Linked DNA regions of Stegostoma tigrinum. The protein of the gene in region 2 purifies or fractionates together with the protein of the main gene of each other region. This does not show direct contact. Links are inferred from orthologs where the notes say so. Each region holds a gene or a part of one and is shown on either strand. Other genes may lie near its edges.

Region 1 (7,897 bases), on a different chromosome or scaffold from region 2:
CTTTCCCTCTATCATAATGTCAGAAATGGGGATGTTCACTAATGATTGCGCAATGTTCAGCACCATTCATGACTTCTCAGATACTGAAGCAGCTCAAATGCAACAAGATCCAGGCATTATCCAGGCTTGGGATGACAAGTGGCAAGTGACATTTGTGCCACACAAATGCCACACTATGACCATCACCAATAAGTGACAATCTTACCACCATCCTTTGATATTCAATGGTGTTACCGTCACTGAATCCCCCACTAGTCAACATCCTGGGGGTTATCAGTGACCGGAAACTCAACTGGACTAACCACATAAACATAGTGGCTACAAGAACAGGCCAGAAGCTAGGAATACTGCAGCAAGTAACTCACTTCCCGATTCCTCAAAACCTGTCCACCATCTACAAGGCACAACTCATGATTGTGATGGAATACTCCCCACTTGCCTGGATGAATGCAACCCCAACAACACTCAAGATGCTTGACACCATCCAGGACAAAGCAGCCTGCTTGACCGCACTACATCCACAAGCATCCACTCCCTCCACCACTGATGCTCAGTAGCAACAGCGTGTACAATCTACAAGATGAACTACATAAATTTATCAAAGATCCTCAGACAGCAACTTCCAAACCCACGACCACTTCCATCTAGAAGAACAAAGTCATCAGACATATGGGAACACCACCACCTCCAAGCCACTCAACATCCTGACTTAGAAAAATATTGCCATTTCTTCACCGTCACTGGGTCAAAATCCTGAAATTACCTCCCTAATAGCATTGTGAATCAACCCATAGCAAGAGGACTGTAGCAGTTCAAGAAGGTAGCTCACCACCACCTTCTCAAAGGAAATTAGGGATGGGCAAGAAATGCTGGCCAGTCAGCGATACCCACATCCCATCAGGGGCGGCACAGTGGTTAGCACTGCTACCTCAGTGCCTGGGAGCTGGGTTCAATTCCACCCTTGGGCAACTGTCTGTGTGGAATTTGCACATTCTTCCCGTGTCTGTGTGGGTTTCCTCTGGGTGCTCCGATTTCCTGCCACAGTCCAAAGATGTGCACGTTAGGTGGTTTGGCCATGCTAGATCACCATAGTGTTCAGGGATGTGTAGCTTAGGTGGATTATAGGGGGATGGGTCTGGGTGGGATGCTCCAAGGTTCGGTTTGGACTTGTTGGGCTGAAGGGCCTGTTTCCACACTGTAGGGATACTACGAAATGAATAGAGAAACAAAATACAATTAGATAGAACCTTTAGTTCTGACTTTTTATAGAACTTTGTAACATCTGTTGAGCCAAACGAATTTCACGAAGATACAAGCAGGCTGTACAGGGTTGATGGGCTATGAGCTTGGAGGCTGGGTGTGTGTGGAATCCCCAGATAAGATGAGATTAATAACCATTGTACAGTTAATAATTCAGCCTGATGTTTCCTGGTGGCACTGTAACCCACGGAAAATAGTTAGTGGTGTCTGGGAGATGGCATTCAGCCTCCACAATATATCAGTCAATAGACCAGACAACAGAAGCACCACCCTTATCAGCAGGAACAATTACAAAGTCAGGGTTGGGTCAAAGAGCGTGCAGTGCAGTCTGTTCAGAGGGATATAGGTTTGACTGGATGGGGGATTGAAGTAAAGGCAGCCAATGTCAGGCAAAAGCTCTCCCAAACAGGTCAAGTGCAAATTGGTAAAAGGCCATAGGAAGGGGTCCAAGTGGAGGCAGCGTATTGGAGGCAGGCCAAGAGATGTCTATTGGTCAGGGAGAGGACTCTTGTCCAAATGAATGGGCATGGAGGCAAAGAGAACAGCAGAAGAATTTAATGTCATGTTGTGCTATTGAAGTAGGGGCACAAAGGGGTAAAACGAAGTCCTTTCCTGAACACAGAACATTCAGAGAACAGAAGGTCAGAATGAATAGTAAATATCTGACAAGAGCTGGGATCAGGAGAAGGCAGCATCTCAGGAGCACAAAAGCTGACGTTTCGGGCCTAGAACCATCAGAGGGTTCTGCAGAACACCTCCGCTCGGTTCGCAATAAACAACTGCACCTCCCAGTCGCAAGCCATTTCCACTCCCCCTCCCATTCTTTAGATGACATGTCCATCCTGGGCCTACTGCAGTGCCACAATGATGCCACCCGAAGGTTGCAGGAACAGCAACTCATATTCCGCTTGGGAACCCTGCAGCCCAATGATATCAATGTGGACTTCACCAGCTTCAAAATCTCCCCCTTTCCCTCTGCATTCCAAAACCAGTCCAGCTCGTCCCCTCCCCCCCACTGCATCCCAAAACCAGCCCAGCTCATCCCCGCCTCCCTAACGCGTTCATCCTCTCACCTATCCGCTCCTCCCACCTCAAGCCGCACCTCCATTTCCCACCTACTAACCTCATCCTGCCTCCTTGACCTGTCCGTCCTCCCCGGGCTATCCCCACCTATCTTCTCCTCTATCCATCTTCGGTCCGCCTCCCCCTCTCCGATGAAGGCTGTAGGCCCGAAACGTCAGCTTTTGTGCTCCTGAGATGTTGCTTGGCCTGCTGTGTTCATCCAGCTTCACACTTTATTATCTTGGATTCTCCAGGATCTGCAGTTCCCATTATCTCTGATCGGGTGAAAGGCCTAATTTAAGTTAAGAGATAACAAGGCGTAGAGCTGGATGAACACAGCAGCCAAATAGCAGAGGAGCAGGAAGACTGACGTGGGCTTAGGTTAATGTAATACAAAAGGGTGCACTGTGAGAGATGTCATCTTTCAAATGAGTGTTTAAACTGATGCTCTGTTGGCCCTCTCAGTTCCAAACAAAAGATCCCATGGCATCATTTCGAAGGGCAAAGCTCTCAGTAATCCTTTCCGACGGTTACCTCTCAACCAACAATTTGCCAATCTGTGGGATCTTGCTATGTACAAAGCATTTTCCATGTTCCCCAGATAACTGCAGCTCCTAAACAAAGAAGTACTAAATTGGCCACCGAAAAATAAGTTTCGAAAAGTTCCGGACTGGTGAGAGGCTTTGTATAATGTACATGTTCTGTCTATCCTAGTTTTCTTTACCATCCTCCCGCAACCCCTCCATACCGTGACAGATATCCTGCTCCGCACCTACTTTCTATAAAGTCCTTGCACTCCTCCTTCAATTCTGTTGTACTTTGCGCCACCTCAGGGTCCAGGACCCTGAGTTTGTTGAGTTCGTCGAAGTGCAGGCCGGCCTCCCCGAGGGACTCCATCGCCATCAGAATCAACAATACCCTCTCGTCCCCTCTGCCGCTGCCACGGCGACAGCGACGGCTCTCTCCGCCCTGCTGCGCATGCGCGGTCACAGGGGGCGGGGCACCCACGGATGTCGCGCGTGCTCAGTATCAAAACTCACTCAGTCTCTCAAGGTAGTGTGGGTTTCTGCAACATTATTTTTGATCTTTCTTACCAGACAGATTCTGGAGAGCTGAAGAACTTTAGTTTGCCGTTTGTCCAGAGTATTGTATACAGAAGGATTTAAAAAGAAATCTCACTGCAACACAAAATAACGGTTGAAGCTAGCGAATCTTCGCTCTTTGTTGTTTTAAATGATCATTTATCGGCGAGCTCCAACCATCGGTGAGATGGCCTGGGCGACTGGACGGCACTTTAACTGAGCCATGAAAGTGCAATCCAGCGGCGGGAAATATATCTGCGCGCGTGCGCACTAAATCGGGAGCCGGCGTGTGGCTAGCGCGCGTGCGCAGTTAGACGAGTACGGACGGGATCGAAGTCACGTGTGAATGCCCTTGCGCCGGAAGAGAAGGAGGAGCGGAGGCGGTTTGAATGGTCGGCACGGCAACTGCTGCAGGTACTGGGCCTACTTCGGGGGTGGGGAGGGTTTTAACGAACGAATAAACAAACTCGCTTTGGACAGTGTTGTCAGAACAAAGTTCAGCAAAGCGGACTGAGCGATTGTCGATAAAGAGATGTCAGTGACCGCCTCAATGGAAGCGAGTTTAGGCTCCTCATGGCAGCTGGAAGAAGTGATCGTAGAGGATGGAACTCCCTCAAACTCGCCCCAAATCTGAGAGCTCTAAGTGAATTGTTTAAGCAGGCTAGGCCATTGGTTTAGGTTGAAGCTGGATATTTCCTAGGTTGCATCGGTTTCATCGAGTTTTCCCCTTTACCTCACCAATACTTTCTAAAAGACCACACTGTATTCGACAACAGAAATTTCTTCTCATGTTGGAAAGACCGAAGGAGCCTTCAGCTTTTGTTGCTTTCAGCCCCTTGGGTATCCATTCCACTCCTCTCCTCAGTAATTGTCTGACATTGAATCTGATCGTTTAAAACCTTTGTTTTGAAGCGAGTTTAGGCTCCTCATGGCAGCTGGAAGAAGTGATCGTAGAGGGTGGAACTCCCTCAAACTCGCCCCAAATTTGAGAGCTCTAAGTGAATTGTTTAAGCAGGCTATGCCATTGGTTTAGGTTGAAGCTGGATATTTCCTAGGTTGCATCGGTTTCATCGAGTTTTCCCCTTTACCTCACCAATACTTTCTAAAAGACCACACTGTATTCGACAACAGAAATTTCTTCTCATGTTGGAAAGACCGAAGGAGCCTTCAGCTTTTGTTGCTTTCAGCCCCTTGGGTATCCATTCCACTCCTCTCCTCAGTAATTGTCTGACATTGAATCTGATCGTTTAAAATCTTTGTATTGAATTTGACTTCAATATGAGTCCCAAACAAAGACTGCCTGTTTCCACCCCTGACTGTGGTTCAGCTCATCTGCTGAAACAAATGCATGTGTTTGCTACCTTTAGACACAGCTATTCCAATGTGTTTCAGCTTCTCGTGATTTACCCTTCAATACATGTATGTGCATCAATCCCCTTCAGTATCAACTCTGCTGACTTATCAACATTGGATCCAGTTAAGTAATACTTACATTTTGAAGTTTTCATCTTTGGTTTCAGATTTTGCCACAGCCTTGTCCCTCCTTATCTGATTTTGTTCTTATTTATTTAGTTTTATTTTATTTATTTTTGTCACATACCGAAACTGAAGAGAAGGTGCAGAGAATGATGAGCTCTAATATATGAGAGGTCCATTCATAAGTCGGATAACAGAAGGGAAGACCCTGTTCTTAAATTAGTTGTTACATGTTTTGAAACTTTTACATCTTCTGTTGATGGAAGAGGTGGGAGGGGTCTTAGATTATGTTGGCAGCTTTTCTGAGGCAGTGGGAATTCTAGAGCGAGTCAATGGAAGGAAAGCTGTTTTATGTGATGGTCTGGGGTCCGTTCACAACTGTGCAATTTCTTGTGGTCTTGGAAAGAGCCATACCAAGCTGTAATATGTAATATAGGATGCTTTCTATGGTGTATCTATAAAAATTGGTAAGAGCCATTGTGGACATGCTGAATTTCATTAACCTTCTGAGGAAGTAGAGGCATTAGAGTGCTTTCTTGACTATAGCATAGATATGAATGGATCAGGACAAGTTGATGATATTTACTTCTAGGATCTTGAAGTTCTCAACCATCTCCATCTCAGCACCATTGATACAGTCAGGGGCGTGTCCTCCACTCTGCTTCCTGAAGTCGATGGCCAGCTGTTTTATTTTGCTGACACAGAGAGAGATTGTTGTCTTTACACCATGCCACTAAACTCTCTATCTCTTTCCTGTGATAATAAGGTGTAGAGCTAGATGAACACAGCAGGCCAAGCAGCATCATCGGAGCAGGAAAGCTGACGTTTCGGGCCTAGACCCTTCAAATTCAGTTTAAGCTTAAATTTGTGAAGTACAAAAGAAACGGTAGTCAGCAGGAGAAGTGAAGCTAGGTTTTTTTTGGGCTTGGAAATGAGTATGTAACGGTTCAGATAAGGCACAGTTGATAAGTGAGAAAAGCATATTTAATGTCCATGCTAACATTGTTTGGCTCAAGATCTGCAGGTTATTCAAATGTAATGAAGCCTAAATTCTCAAAATTGCAAATATTCAGATAATAAAATGACGGTGAGCTGCAAAGAACTAGGTCGGCCCGAAATGTCAGCTTTCCTGCTCCTATGATGCTGCTTGGCCTGCTGTGTTCATCCAGCTGTATACCTTGTTATCTCAGATTCTCCAGCATCTGCAGTTCCTGCTATCTCTATCTCTTTACTGTACTCTGTCTTGTTTTTGTTTGAAATCTGACTGACATTGGTGGTGTCAACATGTAAATGGAGTTAGAGCTGAATTTGGCCACACAGTTGTGTGTGCGTAAGGCGTTTAATAAGAGGCTAAGCCTTGCAGAACAGTGGTGTTGAGTATTATCATCAAGGTCTTGACACCCATCTTCACTGATTGCAGGTCAGGAAGTCAAAGAACCAGTTGCAGTCAAGCGAGCAGAGTCCTAGGTCTCGGAGTTTAGAGATGAGTTTGGTTAAAATTATGGCGTTCAAGGTGGAGTTGAGGCCAATAAATAGTAAGTGTCCTTGTTATCTACATGTTTCAAGGATAAGTGTAGGAACACAAAAACGGCACCTGCAATGAACCTGATGCCACGTGCAATCTCCTCCAGCTTCTCCGACTCCCTGGATGCCTGTAATCTTCAAACTCTGGTCTCTCGGGTTTAGTTCCTCTATTGTTGGTGACTATATCTTACCCAGTCCAAGCCTCATTCCCTCCCTAAAGATTTCTGTTGTGTTATTTGTCTTTCTTCTTTTACTACACTTAAACCTACTGCTTTGACCAAGCTTTTGATCATCTGCCCTCAAATTCTTGTGGCTTGGTATCAGATTTTGTTTCTTGGCTCTGCTGTGAAATAAGTGCTTTGGAACATTTTACTATATTAAAATGGTATGTTATTATAAAGCAAGCATTTAGATTTACTGATTGGCCTTAAAGAAAGAAATCATTTTTAGTTTGAGTACCAAATTGCCTGCTATGGTAGGAAATTATCAAATAGTGAGATGGCTAGAGTAAAATACTTGGCTTTTATTTTGTTTTTGCTTTGTTTTTCTCAAATACAACGCAAATTTCCAAACTGAATTTCCAGTCTACTGTGGTTAGCAATGAACTCGATGTTATCTGTTGAGACACTTAATACTGCATTGATTTGATTTTGTTAATAATATTTCTCCCTCAATTAACTTTGTAACAACATTGACTGACATTCTGCTGAAACTGATCCATGTTGGAATGTATTTCTGCATTCTCAATACTACAATTTCTCCACTGTATTGACAGATTTTTTTCAGCTTAGATTTCATTTGACTTATCACACCTGTGATTTGTTCCATTGTTTGTTATCCTTGTGATACTATTGTCTCTTCAATAAAATATTGGATTTTATTGTTAACCCAACAGGTAGCACATTTTAAAGTACAATTGAAAGTGATGGTATTTCATTGTAGACTAAATGCTTAAATTCTCAAGTTTTGGACTGAAGTTTGAGAATCCTCTCTCATGAACCTACATTATGGAGATGGGTTTGGAAGTCTGCAGAGTATTTATTCTGTTCAAGAATGCAATTCATTTAGTGGGTGGTTTGGTATTTTAACACATTTGATTATGCCAAGAATGTAAAGTACTTTTTCTCATTAGAATTTTAAAACTTGCATACTGTCTTCTAGATAGTTAACATAATTGAATTTTAAGCAGCAGATGAGTGTGTAACTTTCAATTTACTCTTGAATGCTTCACTCCTAGTGCCTACTTGAACTCATTACTTTGGAAGTTTTTAACTTTGAACTTGGCCTGAGTTGTTACTCAGATGCATAATCATAATACAAAAATTAGCACAGCCCTTGGATGGCAATGATAGAGGTGACCAAAAGCTTAGTCAAAAATGTGGCTGAGGAAGGTGATGGGATGAATGGTTTTGCGAACGTGGAGATGAACTGACTGCTAGCAGATTTTCCAGTGCTACGTTCTATGGAGGGGTTGTACATTAATAGTATTTTAA
Region 2 (8,156 bases):
ATGCAGTAATCTATACAAAAGACCGGGAAGTTGATGTTTCGGGTCTTGACCCGAAACGGCAACTTTCCTGCTGAAGGTTCTCGACCCAAAACATTAACTTTCCTGCTCCTCTGATGCTGCTTACTGATTCACAAAAAAGATAGAATAGTTCAGCATGTCCTGTCTGTTCTCATATTTGAATTCTTTATACAGCAAAGACTCAGTAAGTGCCGAATAAAATGGTGCAAAATTAACTTAAATGATAACATCATAAAATAAGGTTCAATGTGGGGATAGCCACTGATTTTTGTAGCATTTATTTCCATTCACAACTCTTAGATAATAATGCTGCAATGATTCCCCATTCCAGCTCTTAGTCAATATTCTGTGGTGAGTAACCTATTTCCTGAACCCATGATCTTTCCAACATCCACACAAAAGACTTCTTGCTTGATTCTGCAACATTTCTCACATAGCCCACGGCATTCAGGCCCCTACAGTGTTTGCCCTCTGTCTCCCACTTTACAACAACTACATTTCAAAGGTAGCTAGCATTAATTGTGAATTATTTTAAAATATCTTGAGGCCACGAAACGTGTTGGTATGAGCCATGTTCCTATGAAGCACCTTGGGCATTTAATATTTCAGAAAGCATTGGTTGTTAGTTGCAGTTTTTTTTTTAATTAACCTGTTCAGAGATGCTCTTACACAGCTGTGCAGCAGGTGGTAACAGGACTCAGGTCACCTGGGTTCAGAAAGGTGATGGAATAACAATGGTCTCAGTTGTAATTTAGTTGGTGACGTTCTTGCTCTGAGGCAGAAAGTTGAGTTTTGTGCACAACAATCTAAGTTGATGATCCAGTGCAGTACTGAAAGAGAGCTATATTGTCAAAAGTGGTGTTTTTCAAATGATATGTTGAATGCTGGCCACATTCATCTCTCAGATGGGCATGAAAAAGTTCCATGGTGCTATTTCAAACAGAAGCAGAAAAGTCAGCCTCAGTGTCCAGGCCAATATTTATCCCTCAACCACATCATAAAAATAGATTATCTCCACAAATATCACAATGCTGTGCACAAGTAATGTTTCCTCCATTACAATAGGGACAATAATTCAAAAAAATTCGTTAGATGTGAAATTCAGCAGTTGTGAATGCACTTTATAAAAGAATCTGTCTTCTTCTTTTCATTTGCCGAGATAACAGCAGCTGTTAAAAAAAACCCCAAGGAGATCAACACATTTCAGAAAATAATTGTTCTGCTTGATTGATAACCTACAGTCACCTTAATTATGCATAGAAACATGGAAAGATTTACACCACAGAAGCAGGTCATCTGGTCCATTGTATTCATGCTGAACAAAAAAGAGAAATACATCGTTCCAGCCAGAATGAAACATTTTAACCTTAACTGTTTGCTTCCTGCCACTGAGGCAATTTTAAGCCAACCTGCTAGTTCCCCTTGAATCCTATTAACATTTAATTTTCAGATCATTTCACACATCAAAGGCATTATTCTCACTGTCTCATATGTGACCTATACAACTGAAGGATGACTTCTCTGGCCTGCTTCAAATCCTTAAATTTGTTCTTCTTCTATGTCAAATGATTAACTGATCATTTAATTTTCCATTTGTATTACAGTATGCAAATTCGTCACAGATAGCTGAATCTTACTTTTTTCGTTAAGTGTCAGTTTTGTCAAGTTTCACGGAAGGTTTCTCTACAGAATGCTTATGGAGATATCTTGCCATTATCTTCCCAATACCATTGAATTAACTAACAACCTGCCTTGTCCAGTAAGAACCACAGTATTTAGGTAGTATGGCTGGTGTTCCTTTGCATACACTTCCCCACTCTTTCAACCTAGTCACTGTTAAACCAACAAGTGACACAGTTTCCCTGTCTTTAGTCACATCTTGTCTCACCATCCAAAGTCACAATGACTCTATCCCAAATGCCCACTGTAGATGCACATCTTGTCATTGTCCCATTGGGGAACGTTAATACAGGTAAGCAATTGGCAATTTTTAAAAAAAGCTATATGAAGACTGCACCAGAGGCTGAATGTATCAGGGTCGCCTGACCAATTGCCCCTCACCCCCAAATGGACTGAGGACTAGCTTCCACCCACTTTCAAGATGGCCATTTGGTTGAATAAACATACAGTGTGATGGCACACTAGGAGCTGGCACATACTGTCCATATTAGATTGACATCCTGGAGTGCTCTATAGCAAGATGCACTCCAGCCCAGGCAGGTCTTTACTGACAAGCACAAGAAGCAACTTACCTGTCTAAATGAGCACATCAATATCTGAAGAATGGTCCTGACCCAAAACGTCAACTTTCCTGCTCCTCTGATGCTGCCTGGCCTGTTGTGTTCCTCCAGCTCCACATTTTATAACTTCTGACTCCAGCATCTGCAGTTCTTGCTATCTCTGACATCAACATGATTGTGCTTTAGCCTTTAGACTCTGGCTGAAGCATCAAAGTGCTAACAGGCACGGCACTGCATGGCAGGGATGCTGAAAGCATGCAACTAGACATTAGGTGAGTAAGTGCTTACAGAGCAAGTGAGCAGCCTTGAGACATAACCTGGTCCAATCCATCAGCTGGGAGCCAGTCCTTGCATGCAGAATGTCCTTTTGATGCAAGTTTCAATGCGCCCTGCAATGTGTATCCTGCAAGTGGATTAGGTGCCATGAGAATCCTGGGGATTTGGTAGTTATTGGAATTAATATTGGATGAAACATTCCCTCCCTACTCAGTCACTTCAAGGTTCCTAAGACTCCTTGCAGGCCAACCAGCGTGTCAATGCTTTGTCTTCAGCTTTCAGAAGTGGCTGCTGCCCACAAACTTTGGAGGTCCTGCGCTAAAAAGGTGATATGGAGTATTGGTTGAACATGCATTGATGAGGGCTGTGCAGCTGGCGCCCAAGGATTGTGCACTGAGATGCTATTGTATGCTGAGAAACACGGAGCCTCTTTGCAGTCAGTAACAAGCTGAAGTCAGCAGGTTTTTGTTGTCTAGTTTGCACACAGTGGGCAGTAGATGAGGCAGCTGCACATTAATATGTGTAGTTAATAAGGTTGCCAACAAACAATAATCTTTCTTTATAGGTATCTCGCCATTGCCTGGTACGAATCACACCTTGACACCTGGAATAAAAAGATACAGACCCTTCTGAACTTCTTGCTTGATTCTGCAACATTTCTCATTCAGGCCCCTATAAATTTTACAACATAACAAAGTGTGAAGCTGGATGAACGCAGCAGGCCAAGCAGCATCTTAGGAGCACAAAAGCTGACGTTTCGGGCCTAGGCACTTCATCAGAAAAGGGGGATGGGGAGAGGGTTCTGAAATAAATAGGGAGTGAGGGGCAGGCGGACTGAAGATGGATAGAGGAGAAGATAGGTGGAGAGGAGAGTATAGGTGGGGAGGGGATAGGTCAGTCCAGGGAGGACGGACAGGTCAAGGAGGCGGGATGAGGTTAATAGGTGGTAAATGGACGTGTGGCTTGAGGTGGGAGATGGGGATAGGTGAGAGGAAGAACAGGTTAGCAAGGCAGGGACGAGCTGGGCTGGTTTTGGGATGCAGTGGGGGAGGGGGAGATTTTAAAGCTGGTGAAGTCCACATTGATACCATTGGGCTGCAGGGTTCCCAAGCGGAACATGAGTTGCTGTTCCTGCAAACTTCAGGTGGCATCTTTGTGGCACTGCAGGAGGCCCATGATGGTCATGTCGTCTGAGGAATGGGAGGGGATGTTAAAATGGTTCACGATTGCGAACCAAGCGGAGGTGTTCTGCAAAGCAGTCCCCAAGCCTCCGCTTGGTTTCCCCAATGTAGAGGTAGCCACAGCGGGTACAGTGGTTACAGTATACCACATTGGCAGATGTGCAGGTGAACATCTGCTTAATATGGAAAGTCATCTTGGGGCCTGGGATGGGGGTGAGGGAGGAGGTGTTGGGGTAAGTGTAGCACTTCCTGCGGTTGCAGGGGAAGGTGCCGGGTGTGGTGGGCTTGGAGGGGAGTGTGGAGCGGACAAGGGAGTCACGGAGGGCGTGGTCTCTCCGGAAAGCAGACAGGGGTGGGGATGGAAAATTGTCTTGGGTGGTGGGGTCGGATTGTAGATGGCGGAAGTGTCGGAAGATGATGCGTTGTATCCGGAGGTTGGTGGGGTGGTATGTGAGGATCAGGGGGATTCTCTTAGGGCGGTTATTGTGGGGGCGGGGTGTGAGGGAGGTGTAGCGGGAAATGCGGGAGACACGGTCAAGGGCGTTCTCGACTACTGCGGGGCGGAGGGGCAGGGGAGTTGCTTACCTTATGTTTCCCACTTTACAACAACTATATTTCTAAGGCAGCTGGCATTAATTATGAATTTTTTAGAGGCATATCAAAGTCATGAAATGTGTACTTATGAGGCATGTCACTACAAAGCATCATGGAATGTTTTATGTAATTGAAACCCTTAAGTTGTTAGTGGCAGATGACTTTTCTAAAAAAAATCTGTTCAAAAATAGTATTACACACCTCTGCAGTAGGTGAAAAGTTGAACCATAAGTCCCCTGGACTCAGTAATAGGGACATAACCCTGACACTATAAAATCCCCTCACTACTCATATACCTATTTTCCTAATCACCTCCTATACAGAGATGTAACGACACACACACACACACCTCTAAAGTGGGACTTGAACTGGGGCCTCCTCGCTCAAAAGTAAGGATATCACCGTTGCTCCACAAGTGCCCTTACCAGCTGCTTGTGGTGTTCATCATTCCCAGCCCCTAGTGATATAATACCTCGTCTTTGCAGCGTTTTCCCCTACACAACTCCTCTCACTGCTGACCTCACTTCCTGGATACGCTGTGTTCGGTTCGAACCGGGCGGGCGCATTAACCGTTTAATTTTTACATCACGGACAGTGTCCGGGCAGTGGACACAGAGCGGGCGGGTAAACCCCGGAGAAAGGCCGAGAGCCCCTCCCTCCCCTTGAGCCGCTGCTCCCATGGCCGATGATGGCCGGCGAGGCGATGAAGGGGAGCGCGGGCCTGGCGCCGTCTATCAGATGTTTGTCACCATGGAGGACCTGCTGGATAAGCTGAAGCTGATGGACTACGAGGAGAATCTGATCCGGAGAAACAACATGAAGGCGCTGTCGAGGTGGGCCTCTGTGGTAATTAACCCGGGACAGGGCTGCAGAGTGACCCCCAACCCCCATGATCTGAAACTTAGGGGAGATAGTAGGCATTGCCGAAGCTGAAGAATCTGAGATAACAAGGTGTAGAGCTGGATGAACACAGCAGGCCAAACAGTTTCAGGTTGGGACCCTTCTTCAGAAAAAAAGGAATTCTTTCCTGCTCGGCCTGCTGTGTTCCTCCAGCTCCACACCTTGTTACCTGAGTCTGAGGGGAGTCCCCTTTTGCTGCACGCCCCCTTAATCGGCCCTACTTACCATCCTATTCCCATTTCCATTTCCATTCGGCGTATTTAAAGACCTTTTGAATGTCGAAAGCAAGTAATCGGTCCAACGTATAGGCCAGAATTGAAATATTTTGTGATATTGTAGAAAGTGTACAGCCAAAATAGAGTAGAATTCCTACCCCACACACCAAGGAATGACAGCAAAGGGGGGAAAAAGTTGCATTTGCATTGAAATAGCAAAAAGTGCAGATGCTGTAGTCAGAAACAACAGTGCGGAGCTGGATGAACACAATAGGTCAGGCATCATCAGAGGCGCAGGAAAGTTGACGGAACAAAAACAGAAGTTGCTCGAAAAGCTCAGCAGGTCTGGCAGCATCTGTGAAGGAAAAAAAAAGTTAATGTTTCGGGTCCGGGTCCCTTGGGTTGAATTCTGACGAAGGATCACCAGACCCGAAACGTTAACTCTTGTTTCTTTCCTTCACAGATGCTGCCAGACCTGCTGAGTTTTTCCAGCAACTTTGTTTTTGTTCCTGATTTATAGCATCCGCAGTTCTTTCTCTTTTTATTCAGGAAAGTTGATGTTTCGGGCCGGGACCCTTCTTCAGAAATGGACCACACAGTGTCGTCACTTGCATTTATATAGCAATGTCCTACAGCCTTTCGCAGTGGATGGAGCATGTCCCCATTGTTCAAATATCACGGAGCCAGTTTGAGCTCAGCAATGTTCCACAAAGAGCATTTTAGAAAATTATTTGAGTCCTATGTGATAGACTCATGTGGACAACTTGGCAAACTTGACTACTCTTCTTTGAATGGTCGGTAAAATCTTTTACATTTATCAAAAATGACAGATTGGTTGTTAGTTGAATTTTCATCTGAAAGATGAAAGACAGTGCAGCACTCCCTCAGTACTAATTAAAGTGTCAAACTTGAATTATGTATTGCATCCCTGGACTGAGTTTGAGGTCATAATCTGACTCGGACACGAATGCTCATCAGTGAATTAAAGCCGACTGTTTATTGTTGTGAAGAAAAGCATGTGGGGAAAATAGTGTTTATCCCTGGAACAAGAAGAGTGAGATGCAAATCTATTGAAAGTTTTCAAAGCTATGAGAACTTTTTAAAAAATGTTAATAGTGGTCCATGTTTCAGTAACAAGGGGTCTAAACCTGGAATTATCCCTAAAATAATAAGGGAAAGGCAGAACATTCTTTTCACTGTTAAAATAACGAACTGTTTCTTTTATAATGTATAAAAGTGGCAATGATCATAGGATAATTTAGAAAGAATTAACTAAGTGTTTTTGAGGGCAGAGTATAAATCATAATTCACTAAATTAGATTCAGTTGAAAAGCTAGTGCTAGTACAAGTGCAATGGACCATAAAGCCTTCCTTCTGATGTTCCTGTCTGGTTCATGATAAATGTTATAAATGAATAGACTGAATTGTTGTTATCATAATGGGCTGGATTTTCCAAGGAATGGGAATGATTGCTATATGCCCTTTTTTTTATGAAAGGAAAGAGCTCCACATTTCTGACAGGAGATCCCAATCATGGCTGTTTAAATAATGCAGAGTCACACCTTGATTTTCATTCTCCTGTATTGCAGAATCTTCAAATTTCCTGGGCAGTCCTTTGGAATTTGCAGCATCTATCTTAGAGTAACAACTGCCTGGCCATCAGAAAATCTCGGCCAATATATCTATGACAATTTATCCTGATTGTTATGGTCTTTAAATTTGCTATAATAACTTTATTTGACAAGCCCTGCTTCTCATGTTTCCTTGTTTTGGTTCTACACAAGCTTCTTACAATCAGCATTCTAAAATAATAGTCAGCCAACAATTTCATGAAAGCTTGAATTTTATTTATACTTATTTTGAAGTTTGAAATGCTTCATATGTCTTTATGTTCATGCTTCATAAATCTTTATGTTCATGTAGTGCAAAGGTTATTTGACCTTTTGTAAACATTGGATATCAATGAGTTGATATTTTATGTGCTCGTATACTTTATTCCCCACTCCTTCTATCCTGAAATGGAAATCTCTAAAGTTGATCTGAAGCCTAAATGTAACCCTTCTTCCTTAGAAGAAATCCGCTGCAGCTATGTGCTCAGTTCTTTCCAAATCTTCAAATGAGGTGATTTATATTTCTGATCTTCTCAATAGCTTTGTATGAGCTCCAAAAAATATTTTAAATAATGTAATTTCTGGGGAGAGCCAGGGAGGTTATAGAGGATACACGAGATCTCAAATGTGGCATCAGTTGAAATATAATCAATTAGCGAGTTTTGAGAAGATTTGTAGCTCAGGTTGAGGTTCTGGATGTGAGTTTGCTCGCTGACCTGGAAGGTTAGTTTTCAGACGTTTCGTCACCATTCTAGCTAACATCATCAGTGAGTCTCCGACAAAGCACTGGTGTTATGTCCCGCTTTCTATTTATCTGGTTAGGTTTCCTTGGGTTGGTGATGTCATTTCCTGTTCTTTTTCTCAGGGGATGGTAGATTGGCTCCAAATCAATGTGTTTGTTGATGGAGTTCCGGTTGGAATGCCATGCCTCTAGGAATTCTCATGCGTGTTTCTGTTTGGCTTGTCCTAGGATGGATGTGTTGTCCCAATCAAAGTGGTGTCCTTCCTCATCTGTATGTAAGGATACGAGTGATAGTGGGTCATGTTGTTTTGTGGCTAGTTGATGTTCATGTATCCTGGTGGATAGCTTTCTGCCAGTTTGTCCAATGTAGTGTTTGTCAC
Region 3 (8,357 bases), on a different chromosome or scaffold from region 2:
TGGGCTTCAGTAAGGCGTACGACAGTTCTTCATGGTAGACTGGTTAGCAAGATTAAACCACATAGAATACAGGAGAACTATTCATTTGGATATAAAATTGGCTCAAAAGTAGAAGGCAAAGGGTGGAGGGTTGCTTTTCAAACTGGATGCCTGTGACCTGCAGTGTGCCACAAGGATTGGAGCTGGGTCCACTGCTTTTTGTCATGTATATAAATGATTTAGAGGTAAGCATGGGATGTGCGGTTAGTAAATTTGCATTTCATACCAAAATTGGAGGTGCGGTGGACAGCGAACAAGGTTGTCTCAGAGTACAACAGGATCTTGACCAGATGAGCCAATGGGCAGAGGAATAGCACAGAGTTTAATTTGGATAAATGCGAGGTGCTGCATTTTGGAGAGGCAAATCAGGGCAGAACTTATACACTTAATTGTAAGGTCCTGGGGAATGTTGCTGGATGAAGAAACCATGAAGTACAGGCTCCTAGTTCCTTGAAAATGAAGATGCAGGTAGATAGGATAGTGAAGAAGGCATTCGGTATGCTTGACTTTATCAGTCAGTGCATTGAGTTGGGAGGTCATGTTGCAGCTGTACAGGATATTGGTTAGGCTACTATTGGAATATTGTGTGCAATTCTGGTCTCCCTGCTATGAGAAAGATGTTGTGAAACTTGAAAGAGTTCAGAAAAGATTTACAGGGATGTTGTCAGAGTCGGAGGGTTTGAGCAACAGGGAGAGGCTGAATAAACTGGGGCTATTTTCCCTGGAGCATCAGACACTAAGGGGTAACCTTACAGAGGTGTATAAAATCATGAGGGGCATGGATAGGGTAAATAGCTAAAGGTCTTTTCCCTGCGGTGGCAGAGTCCAAAACTAGACAGCATATGTTTGAAGTGAGGGGAGAAAGAAGTAAAAGGGATCTAAGCAGCAGCATTTTCACACAGAGGGTGGTGCACGTATGGAATGAGCTGCCAGAGGAAACTGTGGAGGTTGGCACAATTACAATATTTAAAAGGTATCTGGATGGGTATTTGAATAGGAAAGGTTTAGAGGGACATGGGACTAGATTTATTTAGGATACCTGGCCAGGACGGACAAGTTGGACTGAAGGGTCTGTTTCCATGCTGTACATCTCTATGACTCGAAGTTAAGTTTTAGTGAAGATGCCACCCAGGTTGACAGGGTTGTTAAGGCGGCATAGTGTTTTAGCTTTTATTAATAGAGGGATCGAGTTCCAGAACCACGAGGTTATGCTGCAGCTGTACAAAACTCTGGTGCAGCCGCACTTGGAGTATTGCGTACAGTTCTGGTCACCGTATTATAAGAAGGATGTGGGAGCTTTGGAAAGGGTGCAGAGGAGATTTACTAGGATGTTGCCTGGTATGGAGGGAAGGTCTTACGAGGAAAGGCTGAGTGACTTGAGGCTGTTTTCATTAGAGAGAAGGTTGAGAGGTGACTTAATTGAGACATATAAGATAATCAGAGGGTTAGATAGGGTGGATAGGGAGAGCCTTTTTCCTAGGATGGTGACGGCGAGCACAAGGGGGCCTGGCTTTAAATTGGGGGGTGAAGGATATAGGACAGATGTCAGAGGTAGTTTCTTTACTCAGAGAGTAGTAAGGGTATGGAACGCTTTGCCTGCAATAGTAGTAGATTCACCAACTTTAAATACATTTAAGTTGTCATCGGACAAGCATATGGATGTACATGGAATAGTGTAGGTTAGATTGGTATGACGGGTCGACACAACATCAAGGGCCGAAGGGCCTGTAATGTGCTGTAATGTTCCATATTCTATGTTCTATGTTCTAAGTATACATGGAACAATGAGTACATTGTGTGCAGGGCACTACATGGGCAAAAATCAATCTTCAGTCATCATTTTTATAGTTAATGGAAGTCGAGAACCAGCACCAGTCACATATGTCACATTTAAAGCAATAAAGATGCATTACAGGAACAAAGCAAAACTCTATGCTAAGCCACATAAAATATTAGGGCAATGGTCAAAGCGTTAGGTTTTGAGAAAGAAAGTGATAGGAATGTTGAAAGGATGCTTGTCCTTATGGGAGAGTCTAGAACTATGGGGGACAATTTAAAATATGGAGCTCTCTCATTTTAGACAGATGATGAGATTTTAGATTAATACAGGATCAAAAGTTACCAGGTTGGTACAGGTGAATGTGGAGTTGCTGGCACACCAAATTAGTTTTGATGTTATTGAATATTGGAATAGACTTGCAGAGCCAAACAGCCAGCTAAAATATTCATAAAAGGTGCAGAAGATTAAGGATGGTCTTCCAGAACGTCAAGTCTTAGCAGCCGTGACGCAACCACTAATGGCTGCGCAATCAACACTGGAGCTGTTGAAAGAGTAGAGATCAGAATTAAAGGAGCGCAGAGCTGGACGCTGAAGCCTTTCGGAAGAAAGGTCCCTACCCGAAACGTCAACTCTCCTGCTCCTCTGATGCTGCCCGGCCCACTGTGTTCCTCCAGCTCCACACGATGTTATTTCTCACTCCAGCATCTGCATCTTATTATCTTAGAGGAGCGCGGAGCCTGTACATCATGTGGCAAAAGGAGGCCACGGAGAGAGGCAATTCCACGAATAGATTTGAAAGGATGAGAATTTTAAAATCGTGGCGTTGTTTGTGCAGGAGACAATGTAGATCAGCAAGCATATGGGAAATAGAGGAAGGGCGCTTTAATTGAGCTCAAGACAGGAAAAGCGGTGTTTCGGATGCCTTAACTGTGAAGAGGATTGATTACGAGTATTACCAGATGTGTTGAGTTTGCCTGTTGTCATGAACAAGCATCCGTTTGAGCAGAAACATACTGCCATCGTTCAGAACTACTGAAAGATTCCACAAGAGGGTCCTTGTCCTACCAAAGGTAGGGGATTTGAGCCATCCACATAGAAACGGTACATTGGAAACTGACCCGCACACAAGCTTCTCAAGGATACTTAATATTCCTTGTTGGCTGCGTTGTGATAAAGGCGGGTCCCCGGGCGGATGTGCGCGACAACTAAGGATCGGAGCAGGCGATTGAGTCCCTAGCAACCAGGGTCGCCCCACCGGGCCTTGTCTCAGTGCTCGGGGAACTCGTCGGCGCTCACCTCGGTGAAGATGTCGTGCAGATAGCGGAAAGGCGGCTTGCTAAGCAGCTTCTCCGTCAGTGGCGGCTTCTTGATCACTTTTCCCAGGGTGTCCTGGGTCCGTCTGACGAACGGGTTGCTCATTGCGCTGGGTCTCTCCTCTGGGTCGGGATAAACTGATCCAACCAGGCCGTTCTCAGGCCCGCTCCACCAACCGCCGCCGTGCGCGACTACGTCACTAACGCGTGCCAACTTCGGCGTGACGCGGCTGCCTAGCAACAACCGCAACAGCGCTGTCAGCTGACACACTGCGTCCTTCCCCCAACCATTCATTCCCCACTCAGACCGTTTCCTTACCGTTTTATCAATATTCATTTAGGCATAGGTTTAAGGTGAGAAGGAAAAGATTTGCAAGGGACTGAAGGGGCAAATTTTTCACGCATGGATGGAGTGAACTGCCAGAGGAAGTGGTGGAGGCTGATACAATGACAACATTTAAAAGGCAATCTACATGGTTATATGAATAGGGAGGGTTTGGGATATGGGATGGCAAATGGGACTAGATTAATTTAGGATATCTAGTTGGTGTGGAAGGGTTGGACCGACTCTCTGTTTCCATATGGATCAAATTGGTGCCACAAGCATGGAAATTAATTCACATCCAGCTGGGATGGATTCAGAACCTGTCTATAATAAAGATGGGTGTGCCTTCAGCAGAGAGAATAGGGGAAGAGAAAGCAAACTTTCTGACTCCATTACAAAGTATGAGATGATTTCATTCATTGCTTAAATTTTACACTTCCAACATAAACATAAGTTAGCTTTTAATTGTGATTAACTCCAAGCTTACAGAGATAATAGGACCTGCGATGCTGGAGAATCTGAGGTAACAAGGTATAGAGCTGGATGAACACAGCAGGCCAAACAGCATCAGAGGAGCAGGAAAGCTGATGTTTCAGGACCCAAAACGTTAGCCTTCCTGCTCCACTGATGTTGCTTGTCCTGTTGTGTTCATCCAGCTCTGCACCTTGTTATCTCATTAACTCCAAATTTGTTTGAATTGAATTAGTTGAAATGAATATCAGTTTCTCAATCAGATGGACCATTCATCTGCAACTAAACTCAAATTTCCAAAACAAAAGTTATATTCTAAAACATATGAATAATGAACTAGATAGTCACATTGTATTAACCTATAAAGTGTATAATTAAGTACCATGTATGTGATTATATAAAGAATCTGAAGAAGACATATCATTTTAAAATTGAGACATGAAAAATACCTCTCATTAGCTAATTGAAGAGCATTATTCTTTTCAAGGAGGAGGTAAATATAGTCATGTGGCTAAAGAGAGCAAGGGATTTGGGGGAAGAGGGTGAGATTAGCCTACTGAGTCCAATGATCAGCCCACGAGGGGGTTGAATGACCTACTCCACTCTTCTTTGTTTCTACAATCTCTAGTGGTCAAGAAAAACATAATTAGTACCAATCAGTATTTTAATTGGAATTGTTCCCCAAGGAAAAGCACAAAATTTATAATTTGTTTACAGTTAAAAGCTTCAAGTGAAATTTGTTGTCTCAAGTATGATTGAGGATGATCATCACATGTAAACCCAGTCTAACAACAAAAAATGCTGTAAATACTCAGCAGGTCTCATAGTATCTGCAGAGAGAGAGGCATTTAACAGTTAACAGTTTAGGTTGTGACCTTTCAACAGAACTGGAAAAGGTTAGAAATATAATGCAGTATCTGTTGAAAGGTGAAAAGAGGAAGAATGGAAAAAGAACAAAAATGTCTGAGATGGGTTAGGGGTTACAAGATATATTAAATGACGAAAGATTTTGTGGGTAACAGCTAGAGGGAGTGGTAATGGTACAAGTAAAAATAATGTCCAGAGGATGTACAAATGTATACTGTCAAAGTTCTGCTCCAATACTCCGCTATAGGGCAACAGAAAGCTCAAATTGTATTTTTGAATCCAAAATAATTTTGATAATGAGCTCAAACCTAAAACACTAATATGTGATTCTTCCTAATGCATGTTGATAAACTGGCTGTGTTTTTCAAATATTATCTGCAGGAACTTTTGAATTCAGGAATTGAGGTTTCTGTAAAGATGAGTATACAATCAAAGAATGCAATAGCTGTTCAAGTCCAAAATGACTCAAAATTAACTCTCTCTCTCTCTCCCACTCCAAAAGATGCTACTAGATATGCTGAGTTTCTTCAGTGCTTTGTTTATTTCAGATTTCCAGAGTTTACAGCATTTTCCTTTTACCTTGGTTTTGGTATAACTTTAGCCAGATCCCTCCCCAATTCTTAATGGTACTGCCATATTGAAAACCAAATACTTGGCTCTTGCTCTTTGCCCTGTACCAGTTGTTCAAAGCAACTTTCTCCAACTGGCTATGCAGTACCTAACCCCAGGATACACACACCAAAACAGTGTGATGACCTTAAGTTCTGAAAATTCTACCCTGAACGAAAGTTGTTCCGAGAAAGTGGAAAGTAGGAAACAGAAGCTGAAGAGCTTGGACTGGGAAGAAGTTGAGAGAACGGTAAGCATCTGAAATTAAGAGTTGAAAATTATAAATGTTATTCTGGTAATAAAATCTGAAAACAAACATATGGTCAATAGATTTGAATAAGAAATTATATTATTTGACCATTTAGCTTCGGATCAATTGAAAGAGTGATGGAATGAGCAATCAAAACAGTAGTAGGCAATTGTTTGACCAGATAAATTTCAGATAAAGAAACTTCATTAAATCCATCAAAAATAAATGTTGGCTGAACTTTGTTACACTAAATAATACACTAAATAAAACATACTGTAAATGGGAACAAGAACAAAGTTGCTGGAAAAGCTCAGCAGGTCTGGCAGCATCTGTGGAGGAGAAGAGAGTGTTAACGTTTCGGGTCCAGTGACCCTCAGACTGAGGAAGGGTCACTGGACTCAAAACGTTAACTGGTTTCTCATCCACAGATGTTGCCAGTCCTGCTGAGCTTTTCTAGCAACTTTGTTCTTGTTCCTGATTTACAGCATTCGCAGTTCTTTTGGTTTTTGTACTGTAAATGGGCACTGGAAAAATTCAAATGCTGCATTATCAACATTAACTTTTTCTAAGCAGGAACTGAGTCACAAATAAATATTTTAGAACTTTGAATTTAGCATTTTTTCCCTCAACAAAGCATTTTCAATGATTGAGGTGGTGCAATCCTTTCATGTGTCAATGAAAATTTTAATTGTGTGTAAATACATAATCACAAAAAGGTTGTTCTGATTTTCTTCACTTTAAAGGCTGTGTTGAAAAAGTGTATGCCAACTGCACTAATAAAAAACAATGCAAAAGAAATTAAGTAACAAAACAGGACGTTTGTGCAAGGCAAAAGGAAATAGCAACAAGACAAGAAACAAAAGATGGGTGTAGAAAAGGTGTAAACAGAAAATACAGAACATATCTGCAGCTGATCTCTTTTTAACTAAGAAGCAGTACTGAATAGGAAGGAAAGAATGAGAATCAAGGGTTATGGGGAGAAAGCAGGTAATTATTGAGAAATAGCTGATCACCATGACTTCTTTCAGTAGCAGAGCAGATAAGATTGGTTGAATGGCCTACTTCTGTTCTTACATCCTTTGATTTCGTGGAAACTTGCACAGGTGCCAGTACACATAACTGCAGCAATAAAACCTTTGGGTTCCAAAAATAAAATCAAAAAGACTCCGCACTCCAAAGAGCAGCAAGCACAAAACGTTCAATAGCTGAAAATAATCTGATTATTTCATTGATAATGGGAACTGCAAATGCTGAAGAATCCGAGATAACAAAGTGTGGAGCTGGATGAACACATCAGGCCAAGCAGCATCTCAGGAGCACAAAAGCTGACGTTTCGGGCCTAGACCCTTCAATCACAAAACGGGTAGGGAGAGGGGGAGGCGGATCGAAGATGGTACAGGAGAAGATAGGTGGAGTGGAAACAGACAAGTTAAAGGGGCGGGGGTGGAGCCAGTAGAGGTGAGTGTAGATGGGGAGGTAAGGACGGGGATAGGTCAGTCCGGGGAGGGCGGACCGGTCAAGGGGGCGGAATGAAGGGTCTAGGCCCGAAACGTCAGCTTTTGTGCTCCTAAGATGCTGCTTGGCCTGCTGTGTTCATCCAAGTCCACACCTGATTATTTCATGCTTTGGTTCCCTCTTTGTTGAGAGATTATATTGTCACTGACTTCCGAATTTTAAAAATAATCCTAGCTGTTACTGGTGTGAACGATAAACACAAAAAAAGTGTTTATCCCTTTTCCATGTTATTATAGCGGTAGGAAGATTACACCCGCCCGCCAATTCAAACCAATAACCTCGCTTTCCTTTGCCACGATTGGACGGATATGTATGATTGACGGTGGTATAGCCCAAACAGATTGTGGACGGAGTATCAAAATAAACTACTAACGCTTACTAAAAACCGAAAGAACCGCAGATGCGATAGATCAGGAATAAAAACAAAGTTGCTGGGAAAGTTCAGACGGCCCAGCAGCATCTGTGACGGAAAAAACAAAGTTAACGTTTCAGGTCCAGTGACCTTCCTCCCCTGACGCTTTCTATTTGGCTTTTGCGTGTGATTGACAGGAAAGTAACCCAATCCAAAGAGACGACGTGCTGACGCGAGCGTCCGTGTAATGAACGTGGAACAAGTTTGACCGTCATTAGGAGGGTGGGAACAAAACCCGGCCCTGCTTTTATTGGACTGCCATGCGATTGATGGCGTGGCTTGTCTTATGGGTGGGAACTGTGTCGCTTGGCCTTATTGCTGTTGAACGAGTGCAAGTGATCGACAGTGGGCTGAACCAATCGTACGCGTCAGGGGATGGCCCGCGATTAGGGCGCGCGCGTTTCGGTTAGGCTGGGCGCTGCCTCGCGCCGAGTGGGTATGATGCGGAGGCAACGCCGGCGGTGTGTTGGTGGTACCGAGCGAGCTGTTTATACTTTACGGCAGAACAACTCTCTTAGTCAAGAAGAGGTGGAGAGCGCCTTCGGAGAATTGTAAGGATTTCTTCGCGCACTGCTTTCTCTGGTTTTTCCATGTATTTCGCTTTGTTCAGCAGGTGAACTGCACAGAGAGCAATCTCAGATCGATTTATTGTAGGCTTCGGTACTGGAGAAGTGTTGAAACTCAGTCAGGATGATCGGCCTCACCATGTTAAGACCACTAGATGGAGAAGCAGAAGTTGGCCACTCAGTCCTTGAGCCTTCTCTGTAATTCAGAGA
Region 4 (7,931 bases), on a different chromosome or scaffold from region 2:
AATTCCTAGAAGCATGTCATTCCAACCAGAACTCCATCAACAAACACATTGATTTGGAGCCCATCTACCACCCTCTGAGAAAAAGAACAGGAAATGACATCACCAATTCAGGAAATGACATCAACACAGGAAATGACATCACCAACACAAGGAAACCTAAACAGATAAATAGAAAGCGGGATAGAACACCAATGCTTCACCAGAGACTCACTGATGATGTGACCTAGAATGGTGACAAAACGTCTGGGAACGAACCTTCCAGCTCAGTGAACCAGCTTACATCCGGAACAAAATAAAGACCCACTGTTTTGTGGACTGAGAAGAGGAGAGCACGACTGTGTAGGAGGTGGAAGGAAGATGTCGGGTTGACTGTGCATCCTCGCAACCGGTGGATCTTAATGTTAGCTTCGGCCTAACGCTGGTTCAGCGAAGCAGCCAACCTGCAACGATGGCTGCGGTGAGTGCTCGTGCCCCAGGTCAGGGAGTCCGGAACACCATCCGCGTTTCCGTGAAGAAGGTGGATGAAGGTGCACCTGTGGACTGCACCTTCTTCGTGAAGAGGGTCCCGTTGGACTGTTGTGGCTTCACTGCTGCGGACATTTACTGCCTGCAGGACTTCCCTGGAGGAGGTTTCTACGATGTAACCTTCAGGAGTGCCAAGCTTTGCGAGCGCTTCCTGGAGGTTTTCAATGAGAAAGGAGGTGAGGGCCCCCTCTCTGTACTGACTGCTGTCCCGCTGTTCGTGATGCCGGTGCAGAGGAGCCGTATGGTATGTACACAGGTACAACCCGCATGTGCCAGCAGCTGATGTTCTGACCTTCCTCAGAAGGTACGTGAAGGTGGTAGGGGACCTAACCTACATCATGGATCCCTTCGGGATCTGGACCAGTAACAGGCAGGTCAAGGTGACGCTGAGGACGGGCACAGACGGGAGCATCGTACACCCACCGTCCTGCTTCGCGATCAGTGGGAGCAAGGGCTACCTGACCTACGCAGGGCAACCTAAAGTCTGCCATGCCTGTGGTAGGTCAGGTCACGTGGCAGCCGACTGCAAAGCCACCATCTGCAGGGAGGAGGAACACCTTGCAAAGGATTGCCCAAAAGAAAAAAGCTGCAACCTTTGCGGGGAAGCAGGCCACCTCTATGGTGCATGCCCGTGGAGGGGGACCACCTACGACCAGGTCGCCGGCAGGGGCAATGCGGGGCAAGCCCCCCTGGAGGAGAGGAAGGCACCAGGCCCCTGCAAGGACCCCCCTAATGTGCAAGAGGGCCGGGTTGTGCAGGAGGGCCCAGCCCCGCAGGACGGACCCGAGGCCAGCAAATCGCCTCTGCAGGCTCTGCGCCCCCACAACAACCCGGAGTCGATGGAGGAGGCGACAGGTGACCCAGGGGAGTGGACAACGGTCCGGAAGGCAAGGAGGAAGGTGCGCCAGCGGGCCCCAGCACCGCAACCATCAGGCGGGAAGAGGCAGCTACAGGGGGGGCTATAAGAGCTCCTCTGATGAGGGGGATTCGGAGGAGGCCCGCCCAAAACAGAAGCTAAAGATCTCATGGGAGCAGGAAAGCAGCACCCTGATTCCAGGTGACGGGAGGTGTCCTGAGGCTGCCTCCGACACCCAGCCACGCGCCACTGTAGGGGGGCGCCTCCTAGTGGCTGATGTCACCTACAGGAATGCTCCCCTGAGGCTGATCGACGTGTACGCCCCAGCGGTACGGAGTGAGCGGTTGGCCGTCCTGTAGCGGCTTCCACCCCTGCTGGCTACGTCCAGGCCGGTCATCCTAGGCGGAGACTTCAACTGCATCATCGATGCAGATGGACGATCCGGCGTGGGGACAGCGGGTAGGGGGAGTCAACTGGACATCACGTCCAGATTCCTGATGGGCACGGTGAAGGACGCCAAGCTGCTCGACGTCTTCAGCATCCCTGCAGACGGAGCGCAGTGGAGATACACGGCCAGACGGGTCTATCCGCTCAAGGATAGACTTGCTGTTTGTGTCACCGGCGTTCTCGGTCAGGTCCACCGGCGTCGAGCCGGTGTTCTTCTGACCACTGCCTCCTGCTGGCCGACTGTCACTTACAGGACGACCAGCTGGCTGGCAAGGGGACGTGGAAGCTCAACACGACTCTGTTGACCCCAGAGAATGTCGAGGAGCTTAAGAGGGAATACATGGTTGGAGAACCGTGAAACCCCTCTTTGAGTCTCCGGGCGACTGGTGGCAGTCAGTGAAGGAGAACATCAAGAGGTTCATTGTCCTCAAGGGTGTTCAGAAGGCGGGAGAGAGGCGGGGGAAGCTGTCGTGACTCCAGAAAAGGATGCAGAACCTGTACCTTCTGCAGTCGATGGGGGTCGATGTCATGGAGGACCTCCACGAGGTGAGGGGCCAGCAAGCCTCGCTCTTCGCCGCGGAGGCCTCCAGGATAATCTTCCAGTCCAGGGTCCACTATGTGGAGCAGGACGGGACGTGCTCGCATTTCTTCTTTCAGAAGGTGCACAAAGAGAGCTCTGTGCTTAGCCGACTGAAGGACGACGATGGCTTGGTGACGTCGTCTTGGCCCGACATTTTGAGGATCAGCAGATCCTTCTACGCCGGGCTGTACGACGCGATGCCCACGGACAGCACGCCCTTCGAGTCGTTCCTGTCGTCTATCACGGAGGTCTTAGACAACGTCACGAGGGAGTGTCTGGACCGGCCGATATCCCTGGACAAGCTGACCAGAGCCCTCAAGTCCTTTGAGAGGAATAAGGCTCCCGGGAGTGATGGCTTACCGGTTGATCTGTATTCCGCTCTGTGGGACCTGGTCGGCCAGGACCTGCGGGAGGTGTACGATAGTGCGCTTTGGGCAGGGGAAATGTGCAAGTCCATGAGGAAGGGCATCATCACCCTTATTTACAAGAGGAAGGGGGAAGAGGGAAGAAATTAAGAATTGGCGTCCCATTTCATTATTGAATGTGGACTACAAAATCCGGGCCAAGGTCATAGCCAACCGGGTCAGGTCTGTCCTGCAGTCAGTGATTCACACTGACCAATCCTGTGCTGTGCCGGGCAGGAAGATCACTGAGAGCCTTGTGCTCATCAGGGATACGATCGCCTACGTGCAGGACAGGCGGGTGGACACCTGCCTCGTCAGCCTGGACCAGGAGAAGGCCTTCAACAGGGTTTCTCATGCTTACATGAGGGACGTCCTCTCCAAATTGGGATTCGGGGAGGGCATCCATAATTGGATCCGGCTGCTCTACACCAACACCGTTAGCGCAGTCTCGATCAATGGGTGGGAATCGGACAGTTTTCCTGTCAGATCTGGAGTCAGGCAGGGCTGCCCACTCTCTCCTGCCTTGTTCGTGTGTTGTATGGAGCCCTTCGCCGCATCCATCAGGAAGGACGTGAGCCTGAAGGGCATGACTATCCCAGGCAGCGGAGGCCTTCAGGTCAAGACCTCCTTGTACATGGACGACGTCACCGTCTTCTGCACCGATCGTCAGTCGGTGAGTAGGCTGTTGGACATCTGCGGCCAGTTTGAACTGGCCTCGGGTGCCAAAGTCAATGGGGGTAAGAGCGTGGCCATGTTCTTCGGGAACTGGGACAACCGCTGCTTCATCCCCTTCACCGTCAGGACAGACTACCTGAAGGTGCTGGGTGTTTGGTTCGGTGGAGCTAGGGCGTGCACTAAGACTTGGGAGGAGCGTATCACCAAACTGAAGCAGAAGCTGAGCAGGTGGACGCTCCGGTCCCTCTCCATCGCGGGTAAGAACCTGGTTGTCACGTGCGAGGGGCTTTCAGTACTGTTGTATGTGGCGCAGGCCTGGCCTATTCCCTGGACCTGCGTCGCTGCGGTCACCCGGGCCATCTTCCACTTCATTTGGGGGTCGAGGATGGTCCAGGTCTGCAGGGACACCATGTACAAAGACCTGGAAAATGGGGGAAAGGACGTACCGAACGCCACCCTCGCCCTGGTGGCTACCTTTGTGTGTGGCTGCATCAAGCTCTTACTGAGGTTCTACCTGTCCCCGGTGTTGCGAAGGATGGGCCTGGCCTCATTGCCGCGGAACCCTCCAAGTAGTTGGCCCGTCCCATACCACCTGTCCTTCGTGGAGAAATTTTTGAAAGGAAACACCTTTGACCACAAGGCCGTCAGGCAGTGGTCAGCACGTAGTATCCTCGAGACCCTTCGGGAAAAGGAGAGGGTGGATCGCGTCGTGTGGTTCCCCACGCAGACTGCCAAAGTCATTTGGCAGAATGCCTCATCGCCAGAACTTTCAAACAAGCACAAGGACATTGCTTGGCTAGCGCTGAGAGGGGCTCTGCCAGTGAGATCCTTTATGCATGCCCGGAATCTCTGCGCCACCGCACGCTGCCCTTGAGGCTGCTGCGGGGGGGACGAGAGTGTCGATCACCTCCTTCTGGAGTGTGCCTATGCGCAGGAGGTCTGGAGGGGGATGCAGTGGTATTTGTCGAGGTTCGTCCTGAGCAGCTCCATGACACGGGACTCCGTGCTCTACTGGCTGTTTCCCAGGACGCACGCCGAGACCAACATCAACTGAGCCTGGAGGACCATCAATGCGGTGAAAGACGCTCTTTGGTCTGCCCGCAACTTGCTGATCTGCCAGCTGAAAGAACTGACCCTGACCGAGTGTTGCCGACTGGCGCACTCCAAGGTCCATGACTACGTGCTGACGGACGCGCTAAAGCTTGGGGCAGCCGCTGCCAAGGCGCGGTGGGGAAAGACCACCGTATGAAACCCCTCGTCCAGAATAGAAAAAAGGGCCCTATCTGGTAACTGGGCCCAGCTGGCGCCTTCCCCAACTGGTCAGGGGCCAATGGGGACTGTGCGGGGAGATGACTGCCAATGTATTTTCTTTGCTTTGTTTTTTTTTTCATCTTTGTTTTGTTTTTGCCTCTAGTTGGTGTATGTACCCCTTGGGTAACCGGGAGCAGCTTGCATGACTGGGTAGGTGTATAAATGTTTTATTTTCTGTATATTCTATGAATAAAGTATATTTTTTCAAATAAAAAAAGTGACAAAACATCTGAAAACGAACCTTCCAGCTCAGTGAGCAAACTTACATCCAGAACCTCATCTTTATCATGGATGTCCAGTCCCTACACACTTGCATTACAGGCCTTCCGTTTCTTCCTGTTCTGCAGGCCCGACCTGTCTCCCTCCACTGACACCCTCATCTGCTTAGCTGAACTTGTCCTCACCCATCTTCAATTCCTTCCAACTTCCTACAGACAAAGGGGTACCCACATGGGCCCAAATTATGCCTGCCTCTTTGTGGGATATGTGGAACAATCCCTGTTCCAAAGCTACACTGGCCCTAACCCCCACCTCTTCCTCCATTACATCGATGACTCTATTGGCGCTGCCTCGTGCTCCAACTTGGAGCTCAAAAAGTTCATCCACTTCACTAACACCTTCACCCCAACCTTAAGCTCACCTGGACCATTTCTGATACCTTTCTCTCCTGCTTGAACATCTCTGTCTCTATCTCTGTCCTCTCATCCACTTTGCTGCAAGAAGGCCATCCCCTTATTTCCAATTGCTTTGCCTCCGCCGCATCTGCTCCTGAGATGAGACATTCCACTCCCAGACAGCCTGGAAGACCTTGTTTTTCAAGGACTGCAATTTTCCCTCCGCATTGGTTGAAAATGCCCTCAGCCATGTTCTTCGCATTTCCTGCAACTCATCCCTCACACCCCCTACCTGCAATAACAAACAAAACAGAATCCCTCTCGGCCTCACGTACCACCCCACCAACTGCCAAATCCAATGCATCTTCCTCCCACACTTCCACCATCTGCAATCTGACCCAACTACCAAAGACCTTTTTCCCTCCTCACCCTTATCTGCTTTCCAGAGGGACCACTTTCTCTGTGACTCCGTTGTCTGCTCCATACTCCCCACCAGCCCCACCACCCCTGGCACTTTTCCCTGCATCCACAGCAAGTGCTACACCGATGCCACCCGAAGGCTGCAGGAACAGCATCTCATATTTGGCTTGGGATCCCTGCATCCCAATGGTATCAATGTGGACTTCACAAGCTTCAAAATCTCCCCTCCCCCGCCCACATCCCAAAACCAGCCCAGCTTGTCCCCGCCTCCCTAACCATTCCTCCCACCTCAAGCCCCACCCCCATCTCCTACCCACTAGCCTCATCCCGCCTCCTTGATCTGTCTGTACTCCCTGGACCAACTTATCCCCTCCCTAAATCCCCACCTACATCACCTTTACTGGTTCCAATCCCACCTCTTTGACCTGTCTGTCTCCCCTCCACCGATCTTCTCCTTTATCCATATTCCACCTCCCTCCCTCTTTCTACCTATTTATTTCAGAATCCCCTTCCCATCCCCCATTTCTGAAGAAGGGTCTTAGTCTGAAATGTTAGCTTTCCTGCTCCTCTGATGCTGCTTCATCCAGCTGTACACCTTGTTATGTCAGATTCTCCAGCATTGGTAGTTCCTGCTATCATTGAGATTGTTGACTTGCTCGCTGAGCTGGCTTGTTCTTGTTCAGACATTTCATCACCATGCTAGCTGACATCATCAGTGGACCCCCCCCAATGAAGAAATGTTATTCTACTCCGCTTGGAACTTATACTGTTTGATCTGTTAAGGTGAGTCCTGTCATTTCTGGTTTTATCTGTATGGGTTTGTATACAGGGTCCAATTCTGTGTGTTTGTTGATTGCATTATGGGCAGAGAACCATGCGTCTAGGAATTCCCGTGCGTGTCTTTGTTTGGCTTAGGCTACAATTGTTACCTTGTCCAAGTTAAACTGATGGCCTTCATTGTCTGAGTGTACAGATATTAAGGAGAGTTCGTTGTGCTGCTTTGCTGCTAGTTGATGTTCATGTATTCTGATGGCTAGTTTCCTTCCTGTCTACCCACTGTAATGTTTGTAGCAGTCATTGCATGTAAACCACGTTGGTTCTGCATGTTTTGGGAATGGGGGCTTTAATCCTTGTAAGTGTTTGTTGTAGAGTGGCTCTGGGCATGTGGGCCACCATGATTCCTAGTGGTCTTATAGCAGTCTCTTTGTCAGTTCCAATGTGTTCTTGATATAAATGCAATGTGGCTAGTGCGTTAAGGCATATTGTGTCCTCCTGTTGTTGTCTGTTTAGTAGGCATCTGCAGATGAAGTTGCGGGGAACTCCTTTTAAAGTGAGGATTTTATATAGGTGCTCTTCCTGTTTCCTGCATAGTTCTGGGGTGTTGCAGTGTGTCCTGACCCATTTAAATAGTGTCCTAATGCAGCTTTATTTGTGGGTGTTGGGATGGTTGCTGTGGAAGTTACATTTTCGATCAGTATCCGTTGATTTTCTGTATACTGAGAATTGGAACTCCCTGTTGGTCCTATGCACATCTTTAACATCCAGGAGTGGAAGTTGATTGTTGCTTTCTTCTTCCCTTATGAATTTAATCCCCGTGAATACGCTGTCGATGGGGTTGTGGGTCTCTTCTAATTTGTTGTGTTTAAGAATGACAAATGTTTTGTCTACGTACTGAATACGTAGTTTAGGTTGAATGCAGGGGAGGTTGGTGTGTTCTAGTCTTTGCATGACTGCTTCTGCAATGAATCCTGACATGGGTGACCCCATTGGTGTACCGTTGATCTGTTTGTTTACTTCACAATTAAAGATGAAATGTGTGGGAAGGCAGAGTCTAGTCGTTTAAGTATGTTGTCATTGCTGATTGAGCTCCTGGTCTACGTTGAGATCCTAAAAGAATATTTCTCATCAGTCTTTACCATCAAAAAAGGCAAGGATGCTAGGGAAGTTGGGGAAATAAATTGTGAATTCTTGAAGAGAGTCCATACCATCAAAGAGATGCTGGAAGTCTTGAAACGCATTAAGCAGATGAATCCTTGGGACCTCATGAAACGTATCACAAGACTTTGTGGGAGGTAAGGGAGGAAATTGCAGGGATCCTC

What was found.
Region 1: the proteins of ift57 (region 2) and ift20 purify together in Homo sapiens (affinity purification with mass spectrometry; 3 studies listed by BioGRID and IntAct, counting the BioPlex papers as one, with this or other methods). This does not show direct contact. The link is inferred for Stegostoma tigrinum from reciprocal best matches to the Homo sapiens genes IFT57 and IFT20.
Region 3: the proteins of ift57 (region 2) and traf3ip1 purify together in Homo sapiens (affinity purification with mass spectrometry; 3 studies listed by BioGRID and IntAct, counting the BioPlex papers as one, with this or other methods). This does not show direct contact. The link is inferred for Stegostoma tigrinum from reciprocal best matches to the Homo sapiens genes IFT57 and TRAF3IP1.
Region 4: the proteins of ift57 (region 2) and ift172 purify together in Homo sapiens (affinity purification with mass spectrometry; 3 studies listed by BioGRID and IntAct, counting the BioPlex papers as one, with this or other methods). This does not show direct contact. The link is inferred for Stegostoma tigrinum from reciprocal best matches to the Homo sapiens genes IFT57 and IFT172.

The regions. Positions count from the first base shown.
Region 1 is NC_081380.1:36,807,249-36,815,145, reverse strand, and holds the start of ift20 (intraflagellar transport protein 20 homolog), read right to left. Parts: upstream 3,369-7,897; 5' UTR 3,226-3,368; coding exon 3,099-3,225; intron 1-3,098. UniProt on the Homo sapiens protein: Part of intraflagellar transport (IFT) particles involved in ciliary process assembly. May play a role in the trafficking of ciliary membrane proteins from the Golgi complex to the cilium.
Region 2 is NC_081355.1:106,807,301-106,815,456, reverse strand, and holds the start of ift57 (intraflagellar transport protein 57 homolog), read left to right. Parts: upstream 1-4,814; 5' UTR 4,815-4,987; coding exon 4,988-5,142; intron 5,143-5,434; exon of another isoform or gene 5,435-5,512; intron 5,513-8,156. UniProt on the Homo sapiens protein: Required for the formation of cilia. Plays an indirect role in sonic hedgehog signaling, cilia being required for all activity of the hedgehog pathway.
Region 3 is NC_081360.1:20,756,872-20,765,228, reverse strand, and holds the start of traf3ip1 (TRAF3-interacting protein 1), read right to left. Parts: upstream 3,324-8,357; 5' UTR 3,239-3,323; coding exon 3,116-3,238; intron 3,103-3,115; exon of another isoform or gene 2,776-3,102; intron 2,770-2,775; exon of another isoform or gene 2,437-2,769; intron 1-2,436. Other genes in the region: uncharacterized protein si:ch211-227n13.3, read left to right, coding at 8,020-8,132.
Region 4 is NC_081357.1:80,136,777-80,144,707, reverse strand, and holds the start of ift172 (intraflagellar transport protein 172 homolog), read left to right. Parts: upstream 1-4,488; 5' UTR 4,489-4,948; intron 4,949-7,931. UniProt on the Homo sapiens protein: Required for the maintenance and formation of cilia. Plays an indirect role in hedgehog (Hh) signaling, cilia being required for all activity of the hedgehog pathway.